7 linked regions of the Sus scrofa genome follow. The protein of the gene in region 6 interacts with the protein of the main gene of each other region in a pairwise test. Links are inferred from orthologs where the notes say so. Each region holds a gene or a part of one and is shown on either strand. Other genes may lie near its edges. The genes, in order: ITM2B, KCNK1, STX7, SLC29A1, LAT, CREB3 and TSPAN2.

Region 1 (3,500 bases), on a different chromosome or scaffold from region 6:
ATTAGACCCCTAGCCTGTGAACCTCCATGTGCCAAGGGTGCGGCCCTAAAACAAAACAAAACAAAAAAAGAAGATAAGTGTGTTAACTCTGAAGTGACAGAGTAGAGAGACTGAGTTAAAGGGGCAAGGAGTGCGTCTAAGGACTGTGAATATCCCGACCCTAGATGGTGTTCCAGTGCTAAATTATTTCCTTGATTGGGTCAAAATTAGAATTCTAACAACTGTATGCTAGTTGGGTGTCTCTTAATAAGTTTTTCTTACTGAATCTTTCCTCAGTTTTCTACAGCTTCTATCTTAAAAATGAAGAATTTGATCAAGAAGTGGAGTTACAGGATTATTTCTAGATACGTGTGTCCTACTTTTTTGAGATTCTAGTTATTTAAAGAATCTGCTTAATATTTTTGGTCTGTCCCTGATTTTTTGTTAATTTTTCTTATGTTTGGTTAGGAGTGGGCTTGGTGTCTAGTATGGAATACTAACTCCTTGTAGCAGGCTAACACATAATTTTATAAATAATCTCATGTACGTGGAAGTTGTAATAATACACAAGACCCAGCATCATAATGTTGCATCGCGGAGTTGTATCATAGCCATCTCTGGATTTTTAAATGTTAGAAGCTATTTTAATCATCACCAAAAGTTAAAAGAAAAGAGAGACACACACAGAAAAGGGAGAGTGTTAAGTGTGTTATTTATTGCTCTAGAGATATGATAGCTGGTGGGCTGTTGAAAGTTAGAAGAAGGCGACACTCTCCCAAGGGACTGGTGTTTTAGCTCAAGAGGCAATTGTGCTGAGTCCTGGCACCACCACGTAATCATTACTGGGTGGATTTTGGTTAGCGACCTCGCTCTTTGGTCTTTTTGGCTTGGGAGGGGGGACGGCGGACGGACGGACGACTATGCCCATGACACAAGTTCCAGGGCCAGGCATTGAACGCTTGAGTGACAGAAGTGACAACACTGATTCCTCAAGCACTAGGTCTTTATATCTTTTTTTTTTTTTTTTTTTTTTTTTAAGGGCTGCACCCACAGCATATGGAAATTCCCAGGCTAGGGGTCAAATTGGAGCTGCAGCTGCCAGCCACAGCCACAGCAATGCCAAATCCAAGCCATGTCTGTGACCTACACCATAGCTCACAGCAATGCTGGATCTTTAACCCTCTGAGCAAGGCCAGGGGTCAAACCCGGCATCCTCATGGATAGTAGTCGGGTTTGTTACTACTGAGTCACAATGGGAACTCCTATATCTTTGTTTATGTAATAATAATCTTTAAAGTTTCTTAAACAGTCTTGATGTTTCTGTGATTCTGACTAGAGCTAAGATATTGACTATCAGTCTTTTTCATATTTTAGGACCCAGATGAAGTGGTACCAGTTGGCCAAAGAAGAGCCTGGTGTTGGTGCATGTGCTTTGGCCTGGCATTTATGCTTGCAGGTGTCATTCTAGGAGGAGCATACCTGTACAAATATTTTGCACTTCAAGTAAGTGGGAAAATGGTAAGGACGTTTTTTGCCTTTGCTTCACATGTGTTAGAAAATTGGCCCAGGAGTTCCTGTTGTGGCTCAGTGGTTAACGAATCCGACTAGGAACCATTAGGTTATGGGTTCAATCCCTGGCCTTGCTCAGTGGGTTAAGGATCTGGCATTCCCATGAGCTGTGGTGTAGGTTGCAGATGCGGCTCGGATTGGCGTTGCTGTGGCTCTGGTGTAGCTCCGATTTGACCCCTAGCCTGGGAACCTCCATGTGCCGTGGGAGTGGCCCAAGAAATGGCAAAAAGACAGAAAAAAAAAAAAAAGAAAAAGAAAATTGGCCCAAACTTGTTCTGGGTCTGTACTTTTTTCTGTGACCTTTAGCCAAAATGGTGGTCCTCTTAAGGTTGTGTTTCAAAATCTCCTGAACAAATGGAAGATAACATAAGAAAAAGAATGTATATACATGTATGACTGGGCCACTTTGCTGTACAGCAGAAATTGGCACAACATTGTAAATCAACTGTACTTTAATAAAAAAAATAATAAATTAAAAAAAAAAATCACCCACAGGACAAGGATGACCAAAATAGGACGGGGGTGGGGGGGTAAAAAAAGAAAAAAACTCCTGAACGTAAGTTTGCTGAGCCAGCTAAAAAGTCACTAGAAGTGGAATAATACTGTTTTGAAATGTTTCTGGAGTTCCCTGGTGGCTTAGCAGTTAAAGGATCCAGTGTTGTCACTGCTGTGGTACAGGTTCAATCCCTGGGCCAGGAACTTCCACATGCCACAGGCACAACAAAAAAAAAAAAAAAAAGAAGAAGAAAGAAATGTTGCTGACTAAAGGGTATAGATTGTGGATGATTTTTCAAAATTGTCTAACCTCAACTTTCCAACCATAATTAATGGCTAAGTTATAATATTTTTAATTGCCAGTTGAATAAATAAACTAGCCACAAGTGTCATATTAATAGATTACAGTTTGATAGACATTTTGGGCGTCCCCATAAAATTTTGCTCCTGAGTCCAGAGTATACTCATTCCAGTTTTTTACAAGAAATGTATTTTTGATATAAGAAAATCATTTGCAGTTCCACTGTCCAGAGGTAATATTTTTTGACCTAGCATTTTGTTATATGCTCCTAATATTTATTATATACACTTTTAAAAAAAATCAATCTTTATAATGATTTGCTGTAATCTGATATTTTCCACTTAATTATGATGTATTTTTAAGGAAAAATCCAAACTACCTGTATGCTTGTGGAAATTTCAGAAAAACTAAACTATCCCTCTTTTAGCTGATGAGAAAAATCATGTAATTGGTGAATTACATTTTAAAAGTATATTCTTTCAGAAAAACATTATTAGTTTCTGAATATATTCTTTTATAAAAAATAAGGCCTACAGGTAGAAATAGGCCTATGTGTTTCTTCACATTTACTTGTCACCAGATGGATAATTGCCTTTATATTCTATTTTTGTCAAACACAGAAAGTAAAGGAGGAATCAGCTGCTTTTCTCCTTCTGAAGCCTTTTTTTTTTTTTAAACAATACTTCAAAACCTGATCTTACAGGAAGAATGTGTTAACTCTGTAATTAAAGTGTCTGGCTTGTCATGTAAAAGTAAGAGTTTGCAAGCAAAGTACTACTTAGATAAAGGTGGCAGCTTAAGTAATGCTTGCATTTAAAAGCCTGTCTCCCACTGCGTTGCTAAAGCAGTGTTTAAACTCTCCATAGCCAGATGACGTCTACTATTGTGGAATAAAGTACATCAAGGATGATGTCATCTTAAATGAGCCTCCTGCGAACGCCCCTGCCGCCCGCTACCAGACCATCGAGGAAAATATTAAGATCTTCGAGGAAGATGGGGTCGAGTTCATCAGCGTGCCTGTCCCAGAGTTTGCGGACAGCGACCCTGCCAACATTGTGCATGACTTTAACAAGGTGAGCCCAGGGCCCCCTGAACTGTTCCTTAATGGATGCTTTTGTAGTTTTCGCTTCAACATTTGCTAATTTATTCTGTTTAC
Region 2 (4,006 bases), on a different chromosome or scaffold from region 6:
CTATCAGTGAAAAAGAAATGGTATATGAGCTGATCTCCCACCCTGAGAGCCCACCTCCAGCTGGCTTTTAGTATGATATTATCCAGGTCCATCCATGTTGCTGCGAATGGTGTTATTTCATTTTACTTATTTATTTATGCATTTTTTTTTTTTAGGGCTGCACCTGTGGCATATGGAAGTTCCCCCACTAGTGGTCAAATCAGAGCTGCAGCTGCCAGCCTATGCCACAGCAAGTTAGGATCCAAGCCTTGTGTTCAAACTGTACCACAGCTCACTTAATCCACTGAGTGAGGCCAGGGATTGAACCCGCATCATTGTGGATAATTGTCAGGTTCGTAAACCACTGAGCCAAAAACGGGAACTCTCATTGCTTTTGTAGAGATACCGTAGTAATTTATTTAACCATTTCTCTATTTTGGAATCATTTGTTCCTGAGTCTTCATTATTTCATGTATAATATAGATATATATTGTTTATGAACTGCCTTGTCTATAAATGTTTGCCTCCCTGATTATGATTATTATTTTTTGGCCACACTGGAGGCATGTGAAATTTCTCAGGATAGAGACTGAACCACACCACAACAGTGACCTGAGCAGCAGCAGAGACAACAGCCAGTTCTTTAATGGCTAGGCTGCTAGGGAACTCCTCCCTGATTTTTTCTTAGGCCACATCATGGAATCAGAGTACATAAGCTCTTTTAAGGCTCTTGAAACATCCTCAACTTGCCTTTTGCAAAAAGGGCACACCCATTTCGACTGGCCCACAGTAAGGGCTTCCCCTTAAAAAGATCTGCCACATGGGAAAGCTCAGTCGCTTCTAGTGGTTGGCATATTGGTATTTTTCTTCATTCTTCATGTTTTAAAAGAACTAGGCTTCAGAAATGTGACTTTTCCAAAACTCTGCCTTAGTCTTCAGGTCCAAGGCACCTTCTGACCTTGAGGTTTCTGGTTCTTTTCACCATCCATCATTGGCACCAGATTGCGCCAACGTCTTATCTGGCCAATAAGACAAGATGAAAAGTATTCCAGCGCCCGCTTTGTCATAATAGTGGATTTGATTAAGAAGAAATAGGGTGAAACGGAGTAGCTGCGATCTGAGGCTTGGACTGGCAGCGCACTGCCCAGAAGTGTCCCCCCGCCGCCGCGCGCGCGCGCGCGCGCGCGCATACGCTCCCTCCCTGCCACCTCCCCGCCCCCCTGCCCTGCCTTTTGCTGGGGCTGAACCTGGGCGGGGAGCTGGAGGTACCCTCGCCACAAGGCAGGGGTCTGGGCCGCCCAGGAGACATCGCCAAGGGCGGGAGCGTCCCGGCTGCGCGCCCAGCCCCCACTCGGCGGCTAAGTTTGCCGGGCTGTCAGGGGCGACTCTCGGGTTACCTGAGCCGGCCACCACGTCAGCGCCACATCATCTGGGCTTTTTTATTTGCAAGGAAACAGGAAAAGAAGGAAGAAAAAGGCCTCCGGAGCCGCTAGCCAATCGCAGGCAGCCGGCGCTGCGGGCGGAGCGGGCGCGCGGGCAGCGGGGCGGGCCGAGGGGACGGCGGGTGGCAGCGGCGGGCCGGTCTGCGGCGCGGGCCTCGCGGCGGCGACAGCCTCGCGGCGGGAAAGATGCTGCAGTCCCTGGCCGGCAGCTCGTGCGTGCGCCTGGTGGAGCGGCACCGCTCGGCCTGGTGCTTCGGCTTCCTGGTACTCGGCTACCTGCTCTACCTGGTCTTCGGCGCCGTAGTCTTCTCGTCTGTAGAGCTGCCCTACGAGGACCTGCTGCGCCAGGAGCTGCGCAAGCTGAAGCGGCGCTTCCTGGAGGAGCACGAGTGCCTCTCGGAGCCGCAGCTCGAGCAGTTCCTGGGCCGGGTGCTGGCAGCTAGCAACTACGGCGTGTCGGTGCTCAGCAACGCCTCGGGCAACTGGAACTGGGACTTCACCTCCGCCCTTTTCTTCGCCAGCACCGTGCTCTCCACCACAGGTAAGAGGCCCACCCCACGTCCCTGGCCCCGGATCGGCTCTCTGATCTAGCCGCTCCTCCCTCCCCGGACCCCTCCGGCGCTAATCTTGGGAGGACCGGCTCCGCGGCGCCGGAAGCCGGCGAGGTGGGTTCAGAATGCTAGACAAGGGTTGACCCCCTGGAAGTCTTGGATCGTGGTCCCTAACCCTTCGGCCTGAGCGGCTGCAGGGGTCCCCAAAGCCGCGTTCTTTTGTTTGCTACACCCTCCATCCAACCGTCCGCTTGGAGTCGTTTGGGTCCTGGACGCCGCGCGGCGGTGATGGAAACTCCAGTGCAGCGAGGGCGCGCGCCTTCCTCCCTCCCCTGTCCCGCTGGGCCGAGACTGAGGAGCCTAAGGATAACGTGTTCCAGGGTCACCTTCCCGAGGGGCCTCTGTCTGATGATACTGTGATGTTTAGGCTCTTTTCTACCGTAGCGGCCGTTTCGGGGTAAGCGAGTGACATCACTCTGCTCTTCGCAGGTGACCTCTGAGCGCACTGGCCGATCCGGTTTCTCTTCGGAGCAGGAGGAGGGGTGAGGCTAGGCAACATCCGATAGCCTGTGATCCGGGAAAATGGGGGCACCCTGATTCAGCAGTTTTTTAACTTTCGGTGCGCGAGGCCACGCTTAAACTTCTTGGCGCCACCCTCCCCACACCACTCACCAAGCAAGACGTTCACGATGGAGAGTGTCCCGGGGGCGAGAGGAGGCCGGTAACTGGTTGGTTGGATAGAGTGGCCCCAGCCTGGACTAAATGAGGCACGTGAACACCTGGGGGGAGGTTTTGTCCATTGGGATTTGGACCCAGGCAAGTGGTCTCCAAGAGCATTCAGCGCAGTCCCATCTCTATACATCAGATGAGACCTTTAACAGTCCCTCTTGACTTGCACAAGGTCACAGGCAACCTAGTTCCCAGCGTTGTTCTGGAAGCCGAGCCTTGTGATTTCCCAGCCTTGAACATGGGGGTACCCCAGGGGGTACCCCACCCCCACCTTTCCAGGTGAATTAAACTTGTGTTACTCAGACTCCTCCGTGGCCCCACCTCCTCTCCGCCTCCCAGGGTTTATTTCTTTATAATACCCTTGAGCTAAACCCAGTTGATGGTTCCGGTGATTTTTTTGGTAATGAGTAATGGTGCACTATCCCAGTAGATGGTGTAAAAACTGGGATTCAGAAGTGTGCTGTGAATGACTAAACTGCCCCATGTTTGCCCTGCTATAGGGGAAGTAGAATTGTAGTTTGTTTTGTGACACTTTTTAAAGGTAGCCCTAAGACGACCTGTTCTCTTACTTTTTAGCTTTTCCGACACCACTCTTTGGTTGTTTTTTGGCCAGTCCTGCCTGCTTCCACTGTCTTTACTTCGCTCTATTCCTCAGATCATTTAGTACTGGCCCTGCCTTTCCTTTGGAGTATGTTTGTGCTAAATTGAGAATCATTTCTTCCCTGCAGACCTAAGGGGTTTGTGGGCTGCGGAAGGTCTACAGCTGGGTCACAATGTTGGGGTAAATATTACAAAGAATGGTTAAACTTTTCATACTTTCTAAGTAACAAAACTTCAAAGATAGAGCAGGAGTATGAACAATATTATGAGAAAAAGAACGCGTTTGCTCAGTGGGATTTTCCTTTACTGATGCAGCTCATGTACAATCTCGATGTCATATGCATCTAATCAAATGTTAAAGATAGGAATTTACATCTTGAACAATTATTTCCCAGATTTCCTCCCTCTCTTTTTGCAACTAGGAAAATCTGCCATTCTTTTTTTTTTTTTTTTTAAAGGTGGGGAAAGATGTCTTAATATTGGTATTCAGATTGCATCGCAGTTCCTAAGAAAGTGTGTATTCATGCAAAACAAAAGTTCATTTAGGAAATCAGTGCAAGGGGCACTTAAGGATAAACTAGATGAAAAAATTTGCTTCTTGAACTTATTAAGTCACATAGAATTCCTTTGAAATTTAGATTTCTATTCCAAATCAAAGATACTCTTCTCTTCGTTCTATTTGAGTTGAAAGATACTCCTTTCTTA
Region 3 (4,037 bases), about 210 Mb from region 6:
TCTCGTGATAAAACATGATGGAGGATAATATGAGAAAAATAAAGTGTACATATGTATGACTGGGTCACTGTGCTGTGCAGCAGAAGTTGACACAACGTTGTAAATCAACTATACTTTAATAAAAAATTTAGAAGTATAGAAGTTTGGGGTAAAATAAAAACGAATCAAATTTCCACTATATCTCAAGAAAGCAGATAATTTGCTTATATTAGGCAATATTCCTAAAAGTCTACTGTTGGCTCTAGCTGAATCATGCTGCCCCTTTAGATGGGGTGTGTACCTTCTGCTTGGCCAGCGTGCCCATCTCTATTGCCCCTCTTCACAGAGGCAGAGTATAATTGCTGCTTATTATCACACTTACACCATAGTTTTCTTTAGGAAAAATGAGGAATAGAAAATACTTCTTCTTCCTGCATCTCTCTTAAAAATAGAAAAATGAAAAGTGAACTGAGAGCCTCTTCTGTTTCTTATCCTTGGTTAATCTCTCTCACATATGTACATATATGTGCATGTGATTCCAAACAACCTAGACTTTTCTCAGGTGGTACCAATTCAAAATATGTTTTGTTTTGTTTTTTTCCACCTTAGTCTATCTGGACTTTTGATATCCTGACGATCCTTTTAGAAATATTGTCTTATTACAGAAAAAGGCCTAATTAATTTGGTATTCTTTCATCAAAAGAAATTATACTTTTATCTAACAATTACTTTGACTATTTATCATGAGAACCTCTCTATGTTTTGGAAATCCGGTGAAACCTACTTCCCGCCCTTGAGGATGCTTAGAATGACTTGTATATGTATGAAAACTTGTCTACTTAGCACATGGGAAAGACTTTTCGCTTATTCCTTCATTGTTCCTGACTGAATTTCCTCTATTCGTGTTAGTATGTCCTCCCCCCAGGGCCTCATTTGCGGGCGTCCGCATTTTTAATGGAGTTGTAAATATGGTCTACTACAGAGTCAAGGGTTAAGAAGCAAGGCAGGCATGAGTTAATCGGGCCAGCTGAAGACACGAGGCTAGGGAGGCCGGCATCCCCCGATAAACAGAGGGGCTCTCCATTCCCTCCTCCTGTTTTTGCTCGCAGGCTAAGACGTTCACCATCCGCAGGTCAGGCCTCAAAAAACACCTCCCTTGCAATTTTGCTGGAACCCCCATTCCTTAGCTTAGAACCAGAGGGGCGGGGAAGGGCTGCCGTCATTTAACCCCGCTGGCCAATGAGAGAGGAGCTAGCTCCGCCTCCTTCCCAGGGAGGTATTGCGGGCATGCGCACTGGCCATCCTGGTGCCGCCACCCATCAGCTGAGAATCGCAGCTGGGGGCTCTGCGGCCCTTGGGTGCCCGCGGCTAAAGAAGAAGAAGGAAGCAGAGGAAGTCGGGGTAAGAGGAGTCTCGGGAGGTGCCCATGGCCGGGCGCCCCGAAAGCGCGTGTCCCCGTGGCTGTCGCGCCACCTTGTTTGCGCGCGTTGTCAGGTGGCCGCCGCCCTGCGCTTTGCGGCAGGCGCTCGGGAGTCTGAGGGCCGGCGTTGCCCCAGCCCCGGGAGCGCGCTGCTCCCCACGCCCCTCGGCTCCGTGCGCGGCGTGGTCAGGCGGGCCCCGCCGGTCCCTGCTGGCCTTGCCAGCCCGGCCTTCCCGCCGCCTGATGCGCAGCAGCCCCGCCGCCTCCCCCTGCCTCCCCGGCCGCGCTTGCTCAGGCGCACCGGCTGGCTGCGCGTTCCCGGGCGGGGCTGGCGTCCGAGCCGCCCCGGCCCAGCTCTGGAATCCAGCTTCTTCTGCCTCAGGCTGGACATGAACTGACCTCTTCCTCTTTTTAATTCACGGGTTTAGAAAACGTGCTTTAAAGTTCTCCTCCCAAATGTAGAAGAACTGAAGATACGTATTTCTGTAGTGAAGGAACCATATACATTAATACAGAGGCTCATTGTAGTTGGTCTTCTCTTTGGTTTGGAGACTATGATATGCTAACTTTCTTTGGCCCTTTCAGTGATGTCCTTAATTGGTTTGCATAAAGCCAGTTACAATACATGCAATATCTCAAGACACCTCCCCACACCCACCCTCTTGGTTTTCAGGTTGTTACTTTCTTTAAATTCAGACAAAAAGAAAAAAATTGCCTTTCAGGTTAAATGCTTTTTTCCCCCCTCAGATTTCTTACATTTGCTAGACTCTTATACAGTAATTTTTGTTTAACTCAAATCAACACAGTCTGACTACAGTTATATGTAATTTAATACTTGTGCGAACTCTGGAAGAAGAGGAAGTGATTATGAAATGCTGTGCTCTTTAGTAATATTGGAGGTGAATGTTTCTTCTGAGGTTGGCCCGATCGTCCCCCAGTACAGAGACTGATAGCAGTGTTCAATTGTCTGGTGATGTGTACAGGCCTCTGCTTTGCAGGCCACTTTGAGAAGTTTGCCTCAGACTTGTGACTCGTTGAAATTTAAGCTCCAGTTTCAAAGTTTCTGTGGAGGTTAATATGATACCATGTTAACGCATTAACTGCTCCCCCAAACAAAGTAAGCCTTAATTTTGGTTACGATCCTAAACTTTAGCCAAATGCTGCTGGTTGAAAAATAAATGATAGGAAGCACGTGCAGTAAGCCTGAGTAAAGTTTGCCATGATTCCATTTTATTTGAAAGTTTGGTGTATGAGCAGATCAAAAATAATCCTCGGTATTGTGAACTAAACCCAAATGGCATAATAGTTTAATGGATGCAAGAGCTGAGCTAAAGAATGCAGTTCGTGTAGTTCAGGTGGAGAATGCTCCTGTTTGTAGTAAAGGGATCACCCGCACATTCATGGAACATCTGTGCTCCCTCACAGCACAGATACCACAAGATGACAGCTTTGTCTCTCTTTATGTTCCAGAGGTAGGGACATAATAAATGATATACTAACTAGATAATTTTAAATGATTATTAGCACCATGATGCAGTAAGTTAGATCAGCAGAGTGGCAGGTGGTGACTTCTCACTTGGATCAAAGTGACTACGGAATGCTTATCTAGCATGTGATGAGACTTTGCTGTGGAAAAGGAGCAAGTCACATGGAGAATCATGGGAAGAGCCTTCTAGGGAGAGGAAATGGCACCCTGGGAAAAAGGAGCCAGTCACATGGAGATCATGGGAAATCCTTCTAGGGAGAGGTGATGGCCCCAGGCATCGTTAAGCCTGGGACATCCTGGATCTCAAAGAAGGCTCTGCAGTGCTGTCTTAGAAATGGTAATATTTATCCTCAGACCAGGTGTGAGTACTTAGGAATAGTTACATTTGTTTATTCTACAAATATTTATTAAGCACCTCTTATATATCCAGGTATGGAGAGTAGAGAAGTCCACAAAGTAGATTTAAAAAAAAAAAAACAAAAACCTTTGCCCTTCTGGGAATTTACCGTTTTGGAACATGGGGTGAAGGGAAGTCCGGTGCTTTATGCTGGTGCTCACCACTAAGAAAGTGAAACTGACTATTGCTGTTGCTTTATCCAATTTGGATTTATAGAGAATGATATTTGTACTTCATGGGAAGCTTAAGAGGCTACACTTTGTCCAGCAGTAACTAAGGATAGTGTTTGACACGCAAGATTCCTCTTTAAAATTTCCTTTGTTCTTTTATTTGTGCTTTTTAGAAACAGTCTTAAGAAGATTCTCATTAGGAATATTGTACTTTGATTTGCTCCTCCCTTCTTTCCCTTTATAGTGTTTATATATCCTCATAGAAAGCTACTTATTAAGGTTTGGTGAGGACCATTCAATAGAACTTTTCTATAATGGAAGTAGTCCATTGGTGAGCTGTCCAAGCCAGTGGCCACACATGTGATATTTGAACACCAGATATAGGTAGTGAGATATTGGTGTTTTGTTTTGTTTTGTTGTCTTTTTTTTTTTTTTTTTTTTTTTTTACTTTTTTCTAAGGCCGCTCCCACTGCATATGGAGGTTCTCAGGCCAGGGGTCGAATTGGAGCTGCAGCCACCAGCCCACACCAGAGCCACAGCAATTTGGGATCCGGGCTGCGTCTGTGACCTACACCACAGCTCACT
Region 4 (3,500 bases), on a different chromosome or scaffold from region 6:
CTGCCCTTCTTTGTCATCACCATGATCAAGATCATGCTCATTAACTGTAAGCGGGGTGGGGAGAGCTTCCCATGTGCCCGCCCCCTGCCTTCAGACCCGCAGTGGGCATTCCTCCCCCAGGGGGTCAAGGTTCAGAGGCCCAAGTGCTCACGGACCAGGGCCGGGAGTGGGATGAAGAAAAGGGAGTAAAGGAGTTCCCGTTGTGGTGCAGCGGAAACAGATCCGACTAGGAACCATGAGGTTGCGGGTTCGATCCCTGGCCCCACGCAGTGGGTTAAGGATCTGGTGTTGCCGGGAGCTGTGGTGTAGGTCACAGACGCGGCTTGGATCTGGCGTTGCTGTGGCTGTGGTGTAGGCCGGCAGCTGTAGCTCTGATTATCCCCTAGCCTGGGAACCTCCGTATGCCACAGGTGTGGCCCAAAAAAAGACAAAAAAGAAAAAAAAAAAAGACTAGAAAAGGGAGTAAAGCAGGAATCATAGGGACCTGTTTTCCCAGGGCCCCCCCCCACCCATCCGGCTCCCCCCTCCCCTGCTGATGCCCACCCTGTCCCCCAGCGTTCGGTGCCATCCTGCAGGGCAGCCTGTTTGGCCTGGCCGGCCTCCTGCCCGCCAGCTACACAGCCCCCATCATGAGTGGCCAGGGCCTGGCAGGCTTCTTCGCCTCCGTGGCCATGATCTGCGCCATCGCCAGTAAGTCTTTCTGTCTGTCTGCCTGTTGCCCAGATTGTGGGGGAAGAAGGGGTGGGACCTGTCTCTGATCACTGATACCCTCTACCCCAGGTGGCTCGGAGCTTTCGGAAAGTGCCTTCGGCTATTTTATCACAGCCTGTGCGGTTATTATTTTGACCATCATCTGTTATCTGGGCCTGCCGCGGCTGGTGAGCGCCTGGAGAACGCTGGGGTTTGCGGTCTGGGGGTGGATCCAGGGCTCCAGACCCAGGGTATTCTGAGGCCTAAACCTGGGGGAGGTGAATTCTGGAGATTCCGAATCTGAATCCACCTCCCGGTCTCCCTCACTTGATAGGAATTTTACCGCTACTACCAGCAACTCAAGCTTGAAGGGCCTGGGGAGCAGGAGACCAAGCTGGACCTCATTACTAAAGGTCTGAAGAGCCTGAGGAAGCGGGGGGTGGGGGGTGGGGGGGAGCCTGAGCAGAGGGCAAGAATGAGCGCTGCTGGAGTCCCCATCGTGGCTCAGTGGTAACAAACCCGACTAGTATCCATGAGGATGCGGGTTTGATCCCTGGCCTCGCTCAGTGGGTTAAGGATCTGGTGTTGCCGTGCGTTGCCGTGTAGGTTGCAGATGAGTCTCAGACACACAGCGTTGCTGTGGCTGTGGTGTAGGCCGGCAGCTGCAGCCTCCGATGTAACCCCTAGCCTTAAAAAAAAAACGAGCGCTGCTGAGATGCCAGAGACCAGAGGGCAGGAGCCAGGGATGGGGTGAGGGCTGGGATCGAGAGGACAGCCTGGGTGGCCTTGAATGCCTGAGGACATTGGGAAGCAGTTTCAGATTCTTGGACAAGGCGTAACCTGCCCAGAGGCTCCTGAGAGAGGTCAGGACCGGGATTCAGAGGAGGTCTGAACTGGCCGGGTGTGGCTGTGTGCTGGTCAAGGGGGTGTCTGCTCCCAACTAAGCCCAGCCCTTTGCGGGAAGATGTTTGTGCCATCTGTTGCCCTGTCCTTCCCCCCAACTTGAAGATCCTTCTACAACCTGTCCCCCGCCAGGAGAGGAGTCAAAAGCAGGCCAAGAGGAGCTCAGAGTTTCTGCCTCCAACTCTCAGCCCAGCAACAAAAGCCACTCTGTCCGTGCCATCCTCAGAAGTGTACGTGGCCCTTGGGGCATCCTGCCTTCTGCTCCTCCACCCTTTCTCTCTCTCTCTCTCTCTTTTTTTTTTTTTCATTCCTTCTTCCCCCGCTTCCCGAGCTACCTCCTAGCACTGTCTATCCCTTCCCTTTCTTTTTTTTTTTTTTGCTTTGTTTTTTTAGGGCCTCACCCATGGCACATGCAGGTTCCCAGGCTAGGGGTCAAATCGGAGCTGCAGCTGCTGCCTCTGCCACAGCTCATGGCAACGGCAGATCCCTAACCCACTGAGCAAGACCAGGGATCGAACCCATATCCTCATGGATACTAATTGGATTCATTTCCCCTGTGCCACAATGGGAACTCCCTATCCCCTCCCTTTCTGATTAAAGACTGGCCACTTGCCTGGATTCTTGCGTGCGTGCATGTGGGCACACACCTCTGTGTGTGCGTGCATCTTTCTGTCTGTCTTGGGGTGGGGAGTCTTGGTTCTTTAATGAGGCACAACCGCCATGAAGACACGGGCCTGGGTCCCTTTCCTCCAGATCTTAGTCCCGGCTCTCTCCGTCTGCTTCGTCTTCACGGTCACCATTGGGGTGTTTCCTGCCGTGGCTGCCGAGGTCAAGTCCAGCATTGCGGACACCACCAGCCCCTGGAGTGAGGACACCATGGGTTCCCAGGATGGGGCAGGAAAGGGGCTTGAGCAGGGCCGGGAGCCCAGGAGGAGGGGAGTCTGGACTGCTGCCTCCCCAGCCAGACCTTCCTGGTTCATTTGCCCTTCCCTGGGCTGGAAACATCTCCATTTTACAGCTGGGAAAACTGAGTCCCAGTGAGGGTCAGGGTTGCTGGATCCTGCCTCTCCTGGACCTGATAACCCTCCCCCAATCTCCTCTTCCTCTTCCAGATAACTACTTCATTCCTGTGTCCTGTTTCTTGACTTTCAACATCTTTGACTGGCTGGGCCGGAGCCTCACAGCCGTCACCATGTGGGTAAGTGCAGGAAAGGGGTACCAAGTCCCTGCGAGAGGGGAGTCAGCCTGAGGCCCAGAGAGGGAACCAAGAAAGTATGGTGGGAAGGGGGCCAAGACATATGGAGTTCCTGATGTGGCTCAGTAGGTTATATACCCAACTAGTATCCGTGAGGTTGCAGGTTCGATCCCTGGCCTCGCTCAGTGGGTTTAAGATCTGGTGTTGCCATGAGTTGCAGTGTAGGTCACAGATGCGGCTCAAATCTGGCGTGGCTGTGACTGTGGCATAGGCCAGCAGCTGCAGCTCCAATTCGACCCCTAGCCTGGGAATCTCCATATACCATGGATGTGACCCTAAAAAAAAAAAAAAAAAAAGACATGATCTATGTATAGTGAGGTGCACAGTGTAATGAATATATGTATACACACCAGTAAACAAACATCCCTGATAGTCACTGCCCAGGTCAAGAATAGATCATTCCCGGAGTTCCCATCGTGGTTCAGTGGTTAGTGAATCTGACCAGGAACAATGAGGTTGCGGGTTCGATCCCTGGCCTTGCTCAGTGGGTAAAGGATCTGGCATTGCCGTGAGCTGTGGTGTAGGTCACAGACGTGGCTCGGATCCCGCATTGCTGTGGCTGTGGCGTAGGCCGTTGGCTGCAGCTCCGATTGGACCCCTAGCCTGAAAACCTCTATATGCTGCAGGAGCGGCCCAAGAAATGGGAAAAAAA
Region 5 (4,068 bases), on a different chromosome or scaffold from region 6:
GCTCATGCTCTGCGCCTTCGTGGGGGCGCTGGGCGGCGCCGCCTTCCTGGGCACCGCCGTCTTCATTGAGGGCGACCGCCGGCGGGCCCAGCTGCACGTACAGGGTCAGTGGGGCCTCCCCTCTGTCTGTCCACAGCCCCTCGTCTAACTTCACGATGCCCCCTGCTTGTCTGTCCATCTCTCCGCCCGCCTGGCCCCGTGTACCTGGCAGCTCTCAGTCCACAGCCCTCCTGTTCCTCGGGCGTCGCATCTGCTGTTCCACAAGCTGATGCTCCTCTGTGTCCGTAGCACGGGTGGCTCTGCTGCCCCGTCCATCTGCCCCTGCCTGTGTGTCCCCTTCCTGGCCCTGTGTCTGTCTGTGCATCCAGCCCTGGCTCTGCTCCCTTTCCCGGCAGGTCTGTTGTTTGAGGCCGGGCCTGCCGATGACCGAATCGTGGTGCCCCAGCGAGGCCGATCCACCCGGGTCCCCGTGTCCAGTGTGCTCATCTGAGGGGGGGTCACCGCTTGCTACCTGCACACCCACCACGGCTGGCCCCGGGCCCACCCAGGAGGGGCCTGGGCCCAAGCTCTCAGCCTGGCCCATTTCTTAGGAGGGGCTTGGCCCATGTTCCGGCTCCCACGCACTACATGGGGAGCCAAGAGGGGATGCTCCCCATCCCCACTGGAGCAGCCCCAGGGGCTCGGTGCTATTTGTAACTGAATAAAATTTGTAGCCAGACCCCAAGTGCCTGCTGGAGTCTCTCTGGGTGCTAGTGACCTCTGACCTCTGGATGGCAGGGGACGCCCCCTTTCTAGACCCAGTTTTCCAGGGGCCGTTGGGTCACTCCTGTGGCACCTTGGGCAAATCCCTGTCCTTCTGGGCTGGTGAACGAGGGGGTGGAGTGAGCTGGCTCGTGTGACCATGAGTCACGCCCATGTCTTCCCTGGAGCCCGCCCGCCCTTGGCAGGCCGGCCAGGGCGAGGTGGGGGTGGGCACTGCCCTGTGCCCCTCAGAGGTCCCGCTGTCTGAGCCTCCCTCCTCGCTGCCTCCTTGAGCCTTGGCTGTGGAGGCCACGGCGGCCACAGCCTGCAAGTATCTTCCCCTTCTCTCCCTGCTGTGAGCTGCCTCTTGTCCGGAGACCAGAAGACCCTTCTGGAGGGCCCGGTGGTGGGGGTGGTGGCTCCTGAGGCCTCCTTCCCCTCCCCTCTGGCTGGGTGGGGGTGGGAAGGGGGCGGGTGCAGCCGGCTGAGGAGCCCTGATGATTTCCTGCCCTCACCCGGCGCTTACCACAGCTTCCTGCCGCGGGCAGGCAGGCAGGCAGGCAGGCGGGCAGGCGCTGAGAGAGGCGGGCGCAGAGCCCAGGGGCAGGTACGGCTGGGGCGCAGGGTCTGTATAGGGGCGCCTGGTGCCCCAGACTCCAGCCCAGCCTGGCCTGACCTCCCTGGGGTCAAGGGCCTTCCAGAACCGGCGCTGCCGCCCACTCAGCCCATTGAGGGGAGGGGGCGCGGCTGCCCCTCTACCAGGCTCCCAGCCTGGTGCCCGCCTGGCCCCTGCCCCTTTGCTGGCCTGGCCCTCGCCCTGCAGCAGCTCTGCTCTTGAGGGCTGTGCAGCGAGCAGCTAGGCCAGGTCCAAGCCCCCTCCTGCAGATGGAGGCGGTCAGCCTGATCCCCTACGCACTGGGCCTCCTGCTGCTGCCCCTCTTGGCCGTGTTGCTGATGGCACTGTGTGTGCGTTGCCGAGAGCTGCCAGGTGAGTGGGTGCTGGTGGGGTGATTGGATGCCCAGACACCCCCCACCTCCAGGGATCCTCACCCCACTCCCCAACCCCTTCATCCCTCTTTAATCGTCTCTAACTGTTTCGGAGACGCCGAGCACCCCAGGGTCCCTCTCCCTCTGCCCCCGTCACCCCCTTTTCCTGCCTCACCAGCCCTCTCTTCCCCAGGCTCATATGACACTGCTGCCCCCGATAGGTGAGTCTGCCCAGGTGACCCAGTGTGTGTGTGTCTCCCTCAATACCCACGGTGGGCCCGAGGGGACTGGGGCGGGGGCTGGGGCCTCTGGCAGCCACTTAGCCAAGCCGTGTCTCTCCCGCTAGTTTGACCCCAAGTAGCATCGTGATCAAGCGGCCTCGTAAGTACACGGTGGGGCCCCTCCTTCGGGTGTGGGGAGAGGGTCCCCTGGTGCCGGAGAGTATGTGCCTTTGTTTAGTTCCCCCCTATGGCTGCCCACATGGCCTTGACCTGAGCTGGGGATGGGGAGGAGATGGGGGCACCCCAGGGCCTAGGGGTGTTGGGGGTCAGTCTGCCCTTTGAGGCCATGACTCGGGTAAAGGGCATGATGTTTGGAGTCATTTCTTCAGCTTGGTCCTGTGTCCTCAGCCACACTTGCCCCCTGGCCACCAGCCACTTCCTACCCGCCTATGACCTCCTACCCACCCCTGAGCCAGCCAGATCTGCTCCCCATCCCGTAAGTAGCCTCTCTCCCTCTGAATCCTCCTTTGCGGCCCCTTGCCTCCTTGGAATGGGGGCCTCTTAGCCTGTCGCAGTCCCTCTTGCCCCAGAGCCCCACTCCAGCATGACCACTGACCTTTGACTCCTAGGCGATCCCCGCAGCCCCCCGGAGGCTCCCACCGCATGCCTTCTTCCCGGCAGGACTCAGATGGTGGTAAGCGGGGCGCGGGGCCCAGGGGCTGGGGCTGGGCAGAGCCCAGGCCCGCCTGAGCTGAGTTGATTTCCCTCTCGCGCTCTCTTGGCAGCCAACAGTGTGGCCAGCTACGAGAACGAGGGTGCGTCTGCGATCCTGGCGGCCCTGGCTGGGAGGAGGCCAGGGCCCGCCCTGGGCTCTGCTGACCCTGTGTCGTTCCCCCCAGAGCCAGTCTGTGAGGATGCGGACGAAGACGAGGATGAGGAAGACTATCACAACGAGGGCTACTTGTGAGTGGCCAGGTGGGAGGTAGGGGCTGAAGCCGGGGGGTCCTTGCTCACCCCATCCTTGACTTTCCTCAGGGTGGTGCTTCCCGACAGCGTCCCAGCCACTGGCGCCACGGTCCCAGCAGCTCCTGCGTCCAACAAGCCCGGCCTCCGAGACAGCGCCTTTTCCAGTGAGTTTGCCGTCTGACCACCCCCTGCCCTTGGGCTGCGAGCCCTTGGCTCTTCCCTCTCCTCCTGGATGCCTGCTCCCCCTTCATTTTCTCTCTTCTCTCTTTCTGGCACGTCTGTCCTTCAGATAGGGGACTTCCGGCTCCCATCTTCTGATTTTCTTACCATTTCTCTCCTCTTTTCTCGTTGTCTTTTCCCTTTCTTGTCTGTGAGATTTCCTTGACTTGATTCTTCTTTGGACTCTATGCTTTTATTTTGTCTGGCCTGTCCAAAACCTTTCTTCATCTCTGAATGTTCCTTTTTCATAGCCTCCTGTTCTTGTTTCACGAAGGCAATATCATCTCGTAATTCGATAAGGATGTTGATTGTAGGTGGTCTTTTGAGGGGGGTTGTGGGGGTTCGTTTTCTTCTGCTTTCTGGATTGTTTTAATTTCCCTTGGGCTGCTTTTCTCTCATTTTAGTCTCATCCTGCCTGTTAGAGGCTTTTGTCGAGGTCTCATCATCATTAGTGCCCCGTTACCCGCCTTTCTGTCTCTCCTGTATTCTCTCTCGACTTGTTTTGGGCCATCACGTCCACACCCGGCTTCATTTGCCATCCAGATTCCTAACTCACCTCCTCTCTCCTGAGCCCCAGACTTCTCTGTCCAAGGGCTTATATTCACTTATATCCATTCACTCATTCGTTCATCCATCATATTTCCTGGGTGCCTGGATATAATCATCATATTTCCTGGGTGTATTTCTTATTTATCATGAAGTACAGTCATGATAAATAAGAGCTGACATTGTCAAGGGCGTCCTATGTGCCCTGCTAAGAGTGTTATGTGTTTTAACGTATTACTATTAAACCACACAATTCCCAGCTGCTTTGGAGCCTGGCCCTTCCCCGCCTGGCCCTCTTTTGCCCCATCGGTACAGTTATTTTTTTTTTTAACAGAAGCTTGGCAGCCCTTCCTGTACCACAGGCCCTGTTTTAATTCACTGCTTTAGT
Region 6 (4,021 bases):
TAACCCACTGAGCAAGGGCAGGGATCGAACCTGCAACCTCATGGTTCCTAGTCAGAGTCATTAACCACTGCGCCACTACGGGAACTCCAGGCCTATTCACTCTTAGTAGTCATATCACACTACTGTACTTTTAAGAAATTAAAGTCTCTTTATCTTTCTATCAGTAAATATTGATTTCATCATAGTATCACAATACCGCACATGTGAAGCTGCCACTCATTGCTTGAAGCAAAACTCAGGATTTTACATTTATTTTTGTTATACTCCTTAGTCCAGCCTTGATGAATTCTAAAACTTAACCATTCAGCCATAGGTGGATTAGTGTAAAACTAGTGAAATCTAAGTGTCAGGACCCCCCTGTTCCCACAGTACTTTGCAAATCCCTATACCAATATTACACTAATGATTTTGAATTCTTACTTAAAGAGAACACCAAAGTTTGTACAAGCCCTACAAAAACCAGGATCTGCCCCGGCATCCAGCATATTAACTACAGCTTCCTACAAACAACAAACGTGCCAATCTCTCGCTGTCAGGAGACGTGTTTCTACAATCTTTTCTTAGCCTCTTTGCTTCTATTTTCTATGCTGAAAATTCCATTTTGTCCTGCTTTACTTAACCCCATATTCCAGCTTGAAAAACAGTCACCATGCTAGTAAATAATTTAAGCTTAAGAACAAAGACCAAAAGGCATAAGTATTCACGTGGTCAGCTGAATGAGGACATAATGCGTTGGTCTAGGCATGCAGTTTGCACAGCATGATACGTCCTGTTAAAATAAGAGGAAGAGGCGCCTCAAGGCCCCAGGGGGTTTATGAGCGGTCGTTAGCAGAATATGCATCAGCAAGGAGGTACAAACCTAGGCATGCCAGGTTGCAGCAGATAGGCATGCTGTCTGTGGAAGCACAATGATAATTCTCTAGGTGCTATGCACAGAGAGCTAATATCCAGCTTCTTCAATGCTAGTGATTGTTAATGCCTAAAGGTCAGAATAAAAGCTTAACCAGCTACCAGCTATGTGACTTTTAAAATAATAAAAGAACTATGTCCTGCACCTACAACCCCCTCCTCACTTGATGTAATCCTAAAGAGCACAATAAAAGCAGTGTGGTTTCTTGAGGCACTGCTCTTGGTCCCTGAGACCTTGAGTCCCCCAGTTCCCACCCGCAATTAAGATAAATGTCTCTGTGTCTTGTTTTATGCTAACTTTTTCTCAAGTTTTACAGCACCCGTTCCTCAGCCCTTACCTGCGAAGCTGGACTCAGCATCTCGCCTCAGTCCTTTCTCAAGTTACTGATATAAAATTAACAGAGTCAGCCTACTAGGGACTTAACCCCTGCATCCAGTCTTTGCTCCTCGAATGGGAGTCTTACCTTAGTGAGAGGAAGTGTCCCGGGCAGAGTAAGCCCCTCCTTCTCCAAAAGCCTCTTCTCCTCCTCCGTCAGTATCAGCTCACCAATCTCCTGGGGTTCCAAGAGGTGGGCAGCACAGGTGCAAGAGGGTGTCAGAGAGAAATTCGGACTCCTGCCCCAACCCGGTCAATGTGGGAATAATCGTCCTGTAAACCAAGTCAAGTTACCTGCTCTGCGGGCGCCTCCACACGCAGGGAAGTCATTTGGGCCCCTTCCTTCTCATAATCCTCATTATCTGCAAGAGGGAAAGTATAAACAGCCAGGTCCATAGTCCCCTCCCCTCCCCCAAACTTCACCTCTATCAGACTCACCTAGATCTATGGAGACATACTCCTGTGACAGGGAATAGGTGTGATCATGGTGGACAAGATAGGGGTCAGAGTGGCTAAAATCGGTCAACGATGCTGGGGGACTCGACAGGCAGCTCAGGAAATCCTCTACGTCCCAATCGCTCAATGCCTGCCCAGGGTTCAGATTAACAGACTTTGACTGATCACCACCCCCTGCCTCAGAGACACCCCTCCATCCCGCCCGGGGCCTCCCGGACTCAGAGCCCCCCCCCACCTCGGAAAGTGGTAGCTCCCAATCCAGGGGCGCCTCCAAGGCTTCGTCCCGCGCCGCCCCCAGACCTCCGCTTTCCTCTAACAGGAAGCCCAGCAAGTCATCGTCACCCGAGTCCAACCCCAGCTCCATATGAGACATCTACGGAAAGGATGAGCAGAAACACAGAAGTACACCCGGAGTCAACTCCCAACCCCACGCACGACTCCCACCGATCGTCAGTGGGCCACACCTATGGGCTCCGCAAGCGGGGTTTTCCTCCTGGATGCCGGAGGTGGCTCACAAACCCGACCCGCCTCCCAGCCTGAGTCTTAGCCACTTCCAACACCACACAAGTGACGCACCGAGCCCTGAGGCATCCCGGGACTTGGAGTTCCCCGGACGCGGAAGTGGCCTTGGTGCACGCCACGTCCCGGGCACTATGCAAATAGAGGGGACGTCCTTGCCAGCCCCTCACTCCCCGAGGGCGGGCATTCCGGCGAGCCGCCTCCGCCTCCGCCTCCGCCTTCGCCCCGGGCTAGGAAAAGGAAGGACTACCGCGCAACCGGGACCTCGGGCCCAGCTCGGGCGTCTTCTTGGGATTGCGCCGCACCCTCGCTTCCTGCCGGGGAGGGGCTGCGGGTCTTCGGCCGGCTCCTGAGCATCGAGATCTGGGGCCAGAGCAGCTTCCTGCGGTCCCCGCAACCATAGAGCGCGGGCCCAGGGCGCCGCCCGCGGGCGGGGGACGTTCCCGGACGGAAGTGGCCGAGAGTGTCGAAGGGAGGGCGAGGCCGGAGCCCGAGAGCCACCGGGAGAACGAGCGGGTTAGCGGGCCGGCGGGCGGGGCGCAGAGCCGGGCAGCGCAGGTAGGCCGGTCTGCCGCGAGCGGGGCCTCAGGGTGGGGCCGCAAGGCCGGGCCCGGGAGGCGGGCGGGGCCCCTGACTTGACTGCGTCTCCTGTTTCGGGTCCTGTTGGAGAGGTCAGCGTCCAGTGTCTCTCGGCTTGGGCTGGGAGTTCAAGAGGCCTTTTTGCGGGAGGCTTTTCTGCTCCCTTGCTGGGAGCAGCCCCCTGTCTGGGATAGGTTTGGGGGAGGGTGAAGAGTGGGTGGCAGTGCGACGCAGGGCGGGGATCGGCTTTGAGGTTGGCTGATGGCGGGTATGTGGGTAGGAGCGCCCTGGGTGGGTTGGGGATTAGGTGGTATTGGGTTTAGGAGCCAAGGTTAGCTTTAGGGGTTTAAATTTCGAGTTATGAGCGTGAGTCAGGTCCGTTTTGGGTAGGTAAAGTTTGGATTAAGGACATTATTTTGTGTTCTAGGATGGTCAGCCTAAGCCAGAGTTAGAGTCCAGGGTCGGGTTAAGGGTCAGCAGCAGGAACGGCGCTCGAGATCCAGTTTTAGGCATTAGAGACCGTTGGCATAGCCAGTGTTAGGGGTAAAACGGGGAAGGAGTGACTCAGGAATCAAGTGACACATGATCTTTAGGTTCAGGGGTCAAGCTCTAGGGGTAAGGTTGGGATTTGGTGCTAAAGGTAAAATTTAGATCAAAATTAGGGATCAGGGATTGGATTCAAGTGTCTGCTGGGAAAGAGCTGAATGTTAAAGCCAGTATTGGGCATCAGGAGACAAATTGGGATCGGGGTTAATGTTGGGAACTAAGGACAGTTTTAGGGGTTATAGGCTGAGGTCAGGGTAGGTGACCTCAGGCAGGTAAAATTTAAGAGATTGGCAGGTGCTCTTTTTTTTTTTTTTTTTTTTTTTTGCAGGGAGGGCTCTTGTTTCTCTGTCGCCGTGGGGGCTTCTTTGGCGCAGAGAAATGATAAACTGATTACAGGGTAGGGTTCTGAGCTTCAGCTAGAATTGCAGGCATCTGGGATTCCAGCTGCATTGTACTCTCTAAGCCCAAGGCTCTTGCTGTGGCCACCACAGGTGAGGGGCAGGGGTTCCTGGACCATGTTATTTACAAGGTAGGAGGTGGGAAGGTGTTAGGGACCCAGGAGATGTGCTAGGCTTCATAGTAAATGGGGGACTATCTAGGGGAGAGGGGCCTGGTGGGTCAGTTAAGGGAAAGGCC
Region 7 (3,500 bases), on a different chromosome or scaffold from region 6:
AGTTCAAAAGGACCAAAGGGCTACGTGGTCTCTGCCGATGCGCCTTTCCAAAGCAGCGATCGCTGTCATCAGCAACAATCTCAAGCTCGAAGGGGTCCACACCCACAGCATCCCTGCCCCGGCGTGCTAGGAGGATTCCCTCACAGTGATGACATTCAGCTGTGCCACAGTTTCCTTGGCCCAGGAGGAAACCCATGTGGTTTGGGGTTGGGGGACGTGGATGAGCAAGTGCAGATTTCTTCTCATTGCCCCATGGCTTTAAATTGCAACCTCTCTTTTAATTTTCCATTATGCATCAAACACATCTGTGCCAGAAGTGGACAAATGTATTCCGTCTGGGAGGATGATCCCAGACAGCTATAAATTAGAGCTTGTGTACAGAGATGCCAAAAATGTGGCCTCGTGGTAGGGTGTCCCTGGGACCCGTCACCTCCTCCACAGTCTGCTTGGTGGCTGCAGCCCTTGGCCTGATGCCTCTGTCAATAGATTTTTGCTTTGTATTTGGAAAGTCTTTCCACTGAGTGGCTGCAGAGGCGGGGCGGGCAGGGCTGCCTCTGAGGCTTTGCTGAGCACATCTGTCCCCAGCAGCCCCCGACACCCCAAAGACAGGGCTTTCCCAAGGCCATCGCTGTCTTCCCTGTACCAGAAACAGCAATCACCTCAAAGCTGGTTTCCTCCCAAAGTAAAGCACAGCCCAAGAAACCCCACCACCACCATCTTTTCTGGGTTGATCAGATAAACCACCTCGTCACACTTTTAAACTTACTTTAGTAATCTATGCTTCATGCAGAAAACTTAGTATATAGCTAAAAGAGAAAAGTCACCTGTAATTTTATCCTTCGAAAAGAAATATGGTTAATGTTTTAACATGACTTCTTTGGAATATTTTTCCATGCCTTGCTACCCTTTTTAAAAATTGAAAAATCTTTTATAGCCCCTTTGAGCCCAGTTCCTTTTGCTGTCCCTCACATTATCCAATTAGTGCTTTCCTGTAAGTACTGGAAACTTTTAGTCGTTCCACATTGGATCGCAGCTGGTAGAACTTGGCCTCTCCAACTCCTCCTGCAGCGGCCCTGCTGCTCTTCTGAAGAAGCTGGCCACGGAGGGAATGGGCTTTGGGTGGGGGGGTGGGAGGAGGGTGAAGAAAGATAACATCCTCAAACAAGTCCGGCCAGATAGCCCCCGCCTTTTGTAATAGCCCACAGATAACAGGATTCCTTATAAACAGGGCTCTGGTCTGACCCTGACCTTGAAACCATTTTTCCTTATTAAACCTCTACTTCTCTGGCTTGTGAACTTCTGTCTTCCTGTGCCCAGCATCTCTCGTATCTGCTTCTCCCTGTGGGCCAGCAGCCTCTAAAGTGTCAGTCCAGGATGGGCTAGGGCAGCCCAGCACTAACTGTATGGGTCAGCAGAACCAGCAGGCTCTTTTGACATCTCTGCTTACTTTCTCCTGGTGCCTTGAGTCCAGAAGGTGCGCAGGGAATTATCCATTGATTTATTGATACAATGAAATTCGAGATGAGTGTTTGTGGGGGAGAGGATGCCGGGGCCCACTGGTGGGCCTTTGTGACAGTCCTGCAATGGCAGAAAAGGCTTCCAGCCCTGGTGCGGAGCCTCACAAAAGTCCTCAGAGTGGCTGAGAGGAAGCAGGCGATGACTCTACCAGCCGCCAGCCTGCCCAGCACTGCCTGCGCCAGCCACTCAGCCTCTCCATGAGCCACACGGCACACAGACCATGCTTTTTCAGAAAATTATTTTTTCCTTTCTTGCTTTCCATGGAAACCCAAAATAGCAACCAAAAAAAAAAAAAAAAAAAAAAAGAAAAGAAAGAAAAGAAACAAACAAAAAAAACCACCAGTCTCCCTTATTGCCTGCAAAACCATCCCTAGGCAGTGCAGTGCAATGATCAGTGACCGGAGAGGTCTAGACGCCTCTGAAACAGCTTTCTCACTGGGCGCTGCTCGCTCAGGAGGCGTAGGCGGGTTCTGAAGTTGGCATGTTTTCTTCCCACTTAGAAAAGTAGGTCTTGCCCCCTCCCCGGTCTCAGAGTTCATCTTGCTCTTGGTGACCCGGCGGCTCAAACACAGTCCCCTCTCACTGTGGTGTTGGTGAGGAAGTCTGAAGTGCCCGGCAGGGGACAATAAACAGGGAGCAGACGCCTTCGGGGGCTGTTACTGGAACACTTTGAGACGCCTCCTGAGCTGGGCTGTGTGTGCCCTATAACCGCAGGGCAGCCTGGCAGAATGGAGAAACTCTGCGCTTGGAATCAGGAAGCCCCAGTTTTAACATTACATCAGGGACCTGGGGTTGGGGGTAGAGGCTGCGAGCACATCCTTTCACCCCTACCATGAAATGATGAGCTGGTTTCTTAGGGGGGCCCCCTCCAGCCCTCAGCATTCTGCGGCCCCAGGCTTCCCGGGTCATACACACACTTTCCCCTCCCTTGTAAGAGCATGCTGTTTACCTTTCAGCTGGCAGGGTCGGCTGTCATTGCTTTTGGACTGTGGTTTCGGTTTGGAGGCACCATGAAGGATTTTTCATCGGAGGACAAGTCCCCAGAGTACTTCTACATGGGTGAGCGACTTCAGCTTTCCTGGGCTTTAGCTGGGGCTGCTGGGCTTAGAGCCGGAGCCTGCACCCAGGCTTCTGTGGGAGGCGGGCAGAGGGAGAGAGGAGGCAAACCTGAGCCCTGTGTGCCCACCTGGCCCTGGGAGGGGGCTGTGCAGTCCAGGCAGAGAGGAGAGGGCCCTGCCACCCCTACTCAGCCCACCCCACACATGGTTTATCCCTCTGCTCCCAAAACCAAGGAAGACCAGGAGGCACTGGGGTGTTGTACTTCTTTCAGCCTCCTTAAGAAAAGAAGGGCAGCATGTCACCACAGTTCATTTCCAAAGACTTGGAAAACCCTCTCTGCCCCCTGAGTGAAGCAGAACACTACCAAGTCAGTTATTCACTCATCCCTCTGGGGTGATGGGGGCTCCTGCCCAGTCAAGGCTGGGTATTTTATATGTGTGGTCTTAAATTCTAAATTGTCTAGAAGAGACACATAATTCAAAATGAAGAGACATTGCAAGATGTGGAGACACTGATCTTAGTCCCTCCATGACTGGGGTCTGCAGAGGGCAGGGGCTGGGGAGGGGGAGAGGGCTGCCCTGGGGAGAGGCCTCAGTGGGGGAGGGGAGTAGCCTCTCCCCCCAGCTGTGGGAAAGGGCTGAGGAGGGAGTGTGAGCCTGGGTAGCCTCTAATTCCAAGACCATGGCTGAGTAGGGCTGAGTGTTTCCCCCTGGGTTTAGTTCCCTTGGATCTACTTCTAGTCCTCTTTGGGGGCCTTTTTTTCTTGCCCCAGCTAAGGGCACCTGGACTCTAGATTTCAAAAAGCCCAAGACCATCAGGGCTAGGTGATAGCCCTATGGACTGGCTGTTTTAGGATATGTGCCTGCCATAGAGGATGCTTCAGTTGCTTATGGCAACCTCTGAGCTTAAGGAGAAGCAGGGTT

Evidence for each region.
Region 1: the proteins of CREB3 (region 6) and ITM2B interact in a two-hybrid assay, tested with the Homo sapiens proteins (2 studies listed by BioGRID and IntAct). The two-hybrid records come from large-scale screens. The link is inferred for Sus scrofa from reciprocal best matches to the Homo sapiens genes CREB3 and ITM2B.
Region 2: the proteins of CREB3 (region 6) and KCNK1 interact in a two-hybrid assay, tested with the Homo sapiens proteins (2 studies listed by BioGRID and IntAct). The two-hybrid records come from large-scale screens. The link is inferred for Sus scrofa from reciprocal best matches to the Homo sapiens genes CREB3 and KCNK1.
Region 3: the proteins of CREB3 (region 6) and STX7 interact in a two-hybrid assay, tested with the Homo sapiens proteins (2 studies listed by BioGRID and IntAct). The two-hybrid records come from large-scale screens. The link is inferred for Sus scrofa from reciprocal best matches to the Homo sapiens genes CREB3 and STX7.
Region 4: the proteins of CREB3 (region 6) and SLC29A1 interact in a two-hybrid assay, tested with the Homo sapiens proteins (2 studies listed by BioGRID and IntAct). The two-hybrid records come from large-scale screens. The link is inferred for Sus scrofa from reciprocal best matches to the Homo sapiens genes CREB3 and SLC29A1.
Region 5: the proteins of CREB3 (region 6) and LAT interact in a two-hybrid assay, tested with the Homo sapiens proteins (2 studies listed by BioGRID and IntAct). The two-hybrid records come from large-scale screens. The link is inferred for Sus scrofa from reciprocal best matches to the Homo sapiens genes CREB3 and LAT.
Region 7: the proteins of CREB3 (region 6) and TSPAN2 interact in a two-hybrid assay, tested with the Homo sapiens proteins (2 studies listed by BioGRID and IntAct). The two-hybrid records come from large-scale screens. The link is inferred for Sus scrofa from reciprocal best matches to the Homo sapiens genes CREB3 and TSPAN2.

Annotation. Positions count from the first base shown.
Region 1 is NC_010453.5:19,353,932-19,357,431, reverse strand, and holds part of ITM2B (integral membrane protein 2B), read left to right. Parts: intron 1-1,353; coding exon 1,354-1,497; intron 1,498-3,210; coding exon 3,211-3,417; intron 3,418-3,500. UniProt on the Homo sapiens protein: Plays a regulatory role in the processing of the amyloid-beta A4 precursor protein (APP) and acts as an inhibitor of the amyloid-beta peptide aggregation and fibrils deposition. Plays a role in the induction of neurite outgrowth.
Region 2 is NC_010456.5:57,316,539-57,320,544, reverse strand, and holds the start of KCNK1 (potassium channel subfamily K member 1), read left to right. Parts: upstream 1-1,206; 5' UTR 1,207-1,607; coding exon 1,608-1,962; intron 1,963-4,006. UniProt on the Homo sapiens protein: Ion channel that contributes to passive transmembrane potassium transport and to the regulation of the resting membrane potential in brain astrocytes, but also in kidney and in other tissues.
Region 3 is NC_010443.5:31,183,668-31,187,704, forward strand, and holds the start of STX7 (syntaxin-7), read left to right. Parts: upstream 1-1,237; 5' UTR 1,238-1,380; intron 1,381-4,037. UniProt on the Homo sapiens protein: May be involved in protein trafficking from the plasma membrane to the early endosome (EE) as well as in homotypic fusion of endocytic organelles. Mediates the endocytic trafficking from early endosomes to late endosomes and lysosomes.
Region 4 is NC_010449.5:39,228,313-39,231,812, forward strand, and holds part of SLC29A1 (equilibrative nucleoside transporter 1), read left to right. Parts: coding exon 1-46; intron 47-555; coding exon 556-690; intron 691-780; coding exon 781-878; intron 879-1,024; coding exon 1,025-1,103; intron 1,104-1,698; coding exon of another isoform or gene 1,699-1,725; coding exon 1,726-1,823; intron 1,824-2,346; coding exon 2,347-2,458; intron 2,459-2,705; coding exon 2,706-2,791; intron 2,792-3,500. UniProt on the Homo sapiens protein: Uniporter involved in the facilitative transport of nucleosides and nucleobases, and contributes to maintaining their cellular homeostasis. Functions as a Na(+)-independent transporter.
Region 5 is NC_010445.4:18,637,724-18,641,791, forward strand, and holds the start of LAT (linker for activation of T-cells family member 1), read left to right. Parts: upstream 1-1,268; 5' UTR 1,269-1,626; coding exon 1,627-1,729; intron 1,730-1,921; coding exon 1,922-1,949; intron 1,950-2,074; coding exon 2,075-2,109; intron 2,110-2,357; coding exon 2,358-2,445; intron 2,446-2,578; coding exon 2,579-2,643; intron 2,644-2,734; coding exon 2,735-2,912; intron 2,913-2,984; coding exon 2,985-3,079; intron 3,080-4,068. UniProt on the Homo sapiens protein: Required for TCR (T-cell antigen receptor)- and pre-TCR-mediated signaling, both in mature T-cells and during their development.
Region 6 is NC_010443.5:236,449,352-236,453,372, reverse strand, and holds the start of CREB3 (cyclic AMP-responsive element-binding protein 3), read right to left. Parts: upstream 2,801-4,021; 5' UTR 2,333-2,800; coding exon 2,318-2,332; exon of another isoform or gene 2,206-2,317; intron 2,115-2,205; coding exon 1,977-2,114; intron 1,872-1,976; coding exon 1,724-1,871; intron 1,648-1,723; coding exon 1,580-1,647; intron 1,464-1,579; coding exon 1,374-1,463; intron 1-1,373. UniProt on the Homo sapiens protein: Endoplasmic reticulum (ER)-bound sequence-specific transcription factor that directly binds DNA and activates transcription. Plays a role in the unfolded protein response (UPR), promoting cell survival versus ER stress-induced apoptotic cell death.
Region 7 is NC_010446.5:105,516,599-105,520,098, forward strand, and holds part of TSPAN2 (tetraspanin-2), read left to right. Parts: intron 1-2,474; coding exon 2,475-2,577; intron 2,578-3,500. UniProt on the Homo sapiens protein: May play a role in signalling in oligodendrocytes in the early stages of their terminal differentiation into myelin-forming glia and may also function in stabilizing the mature sheath.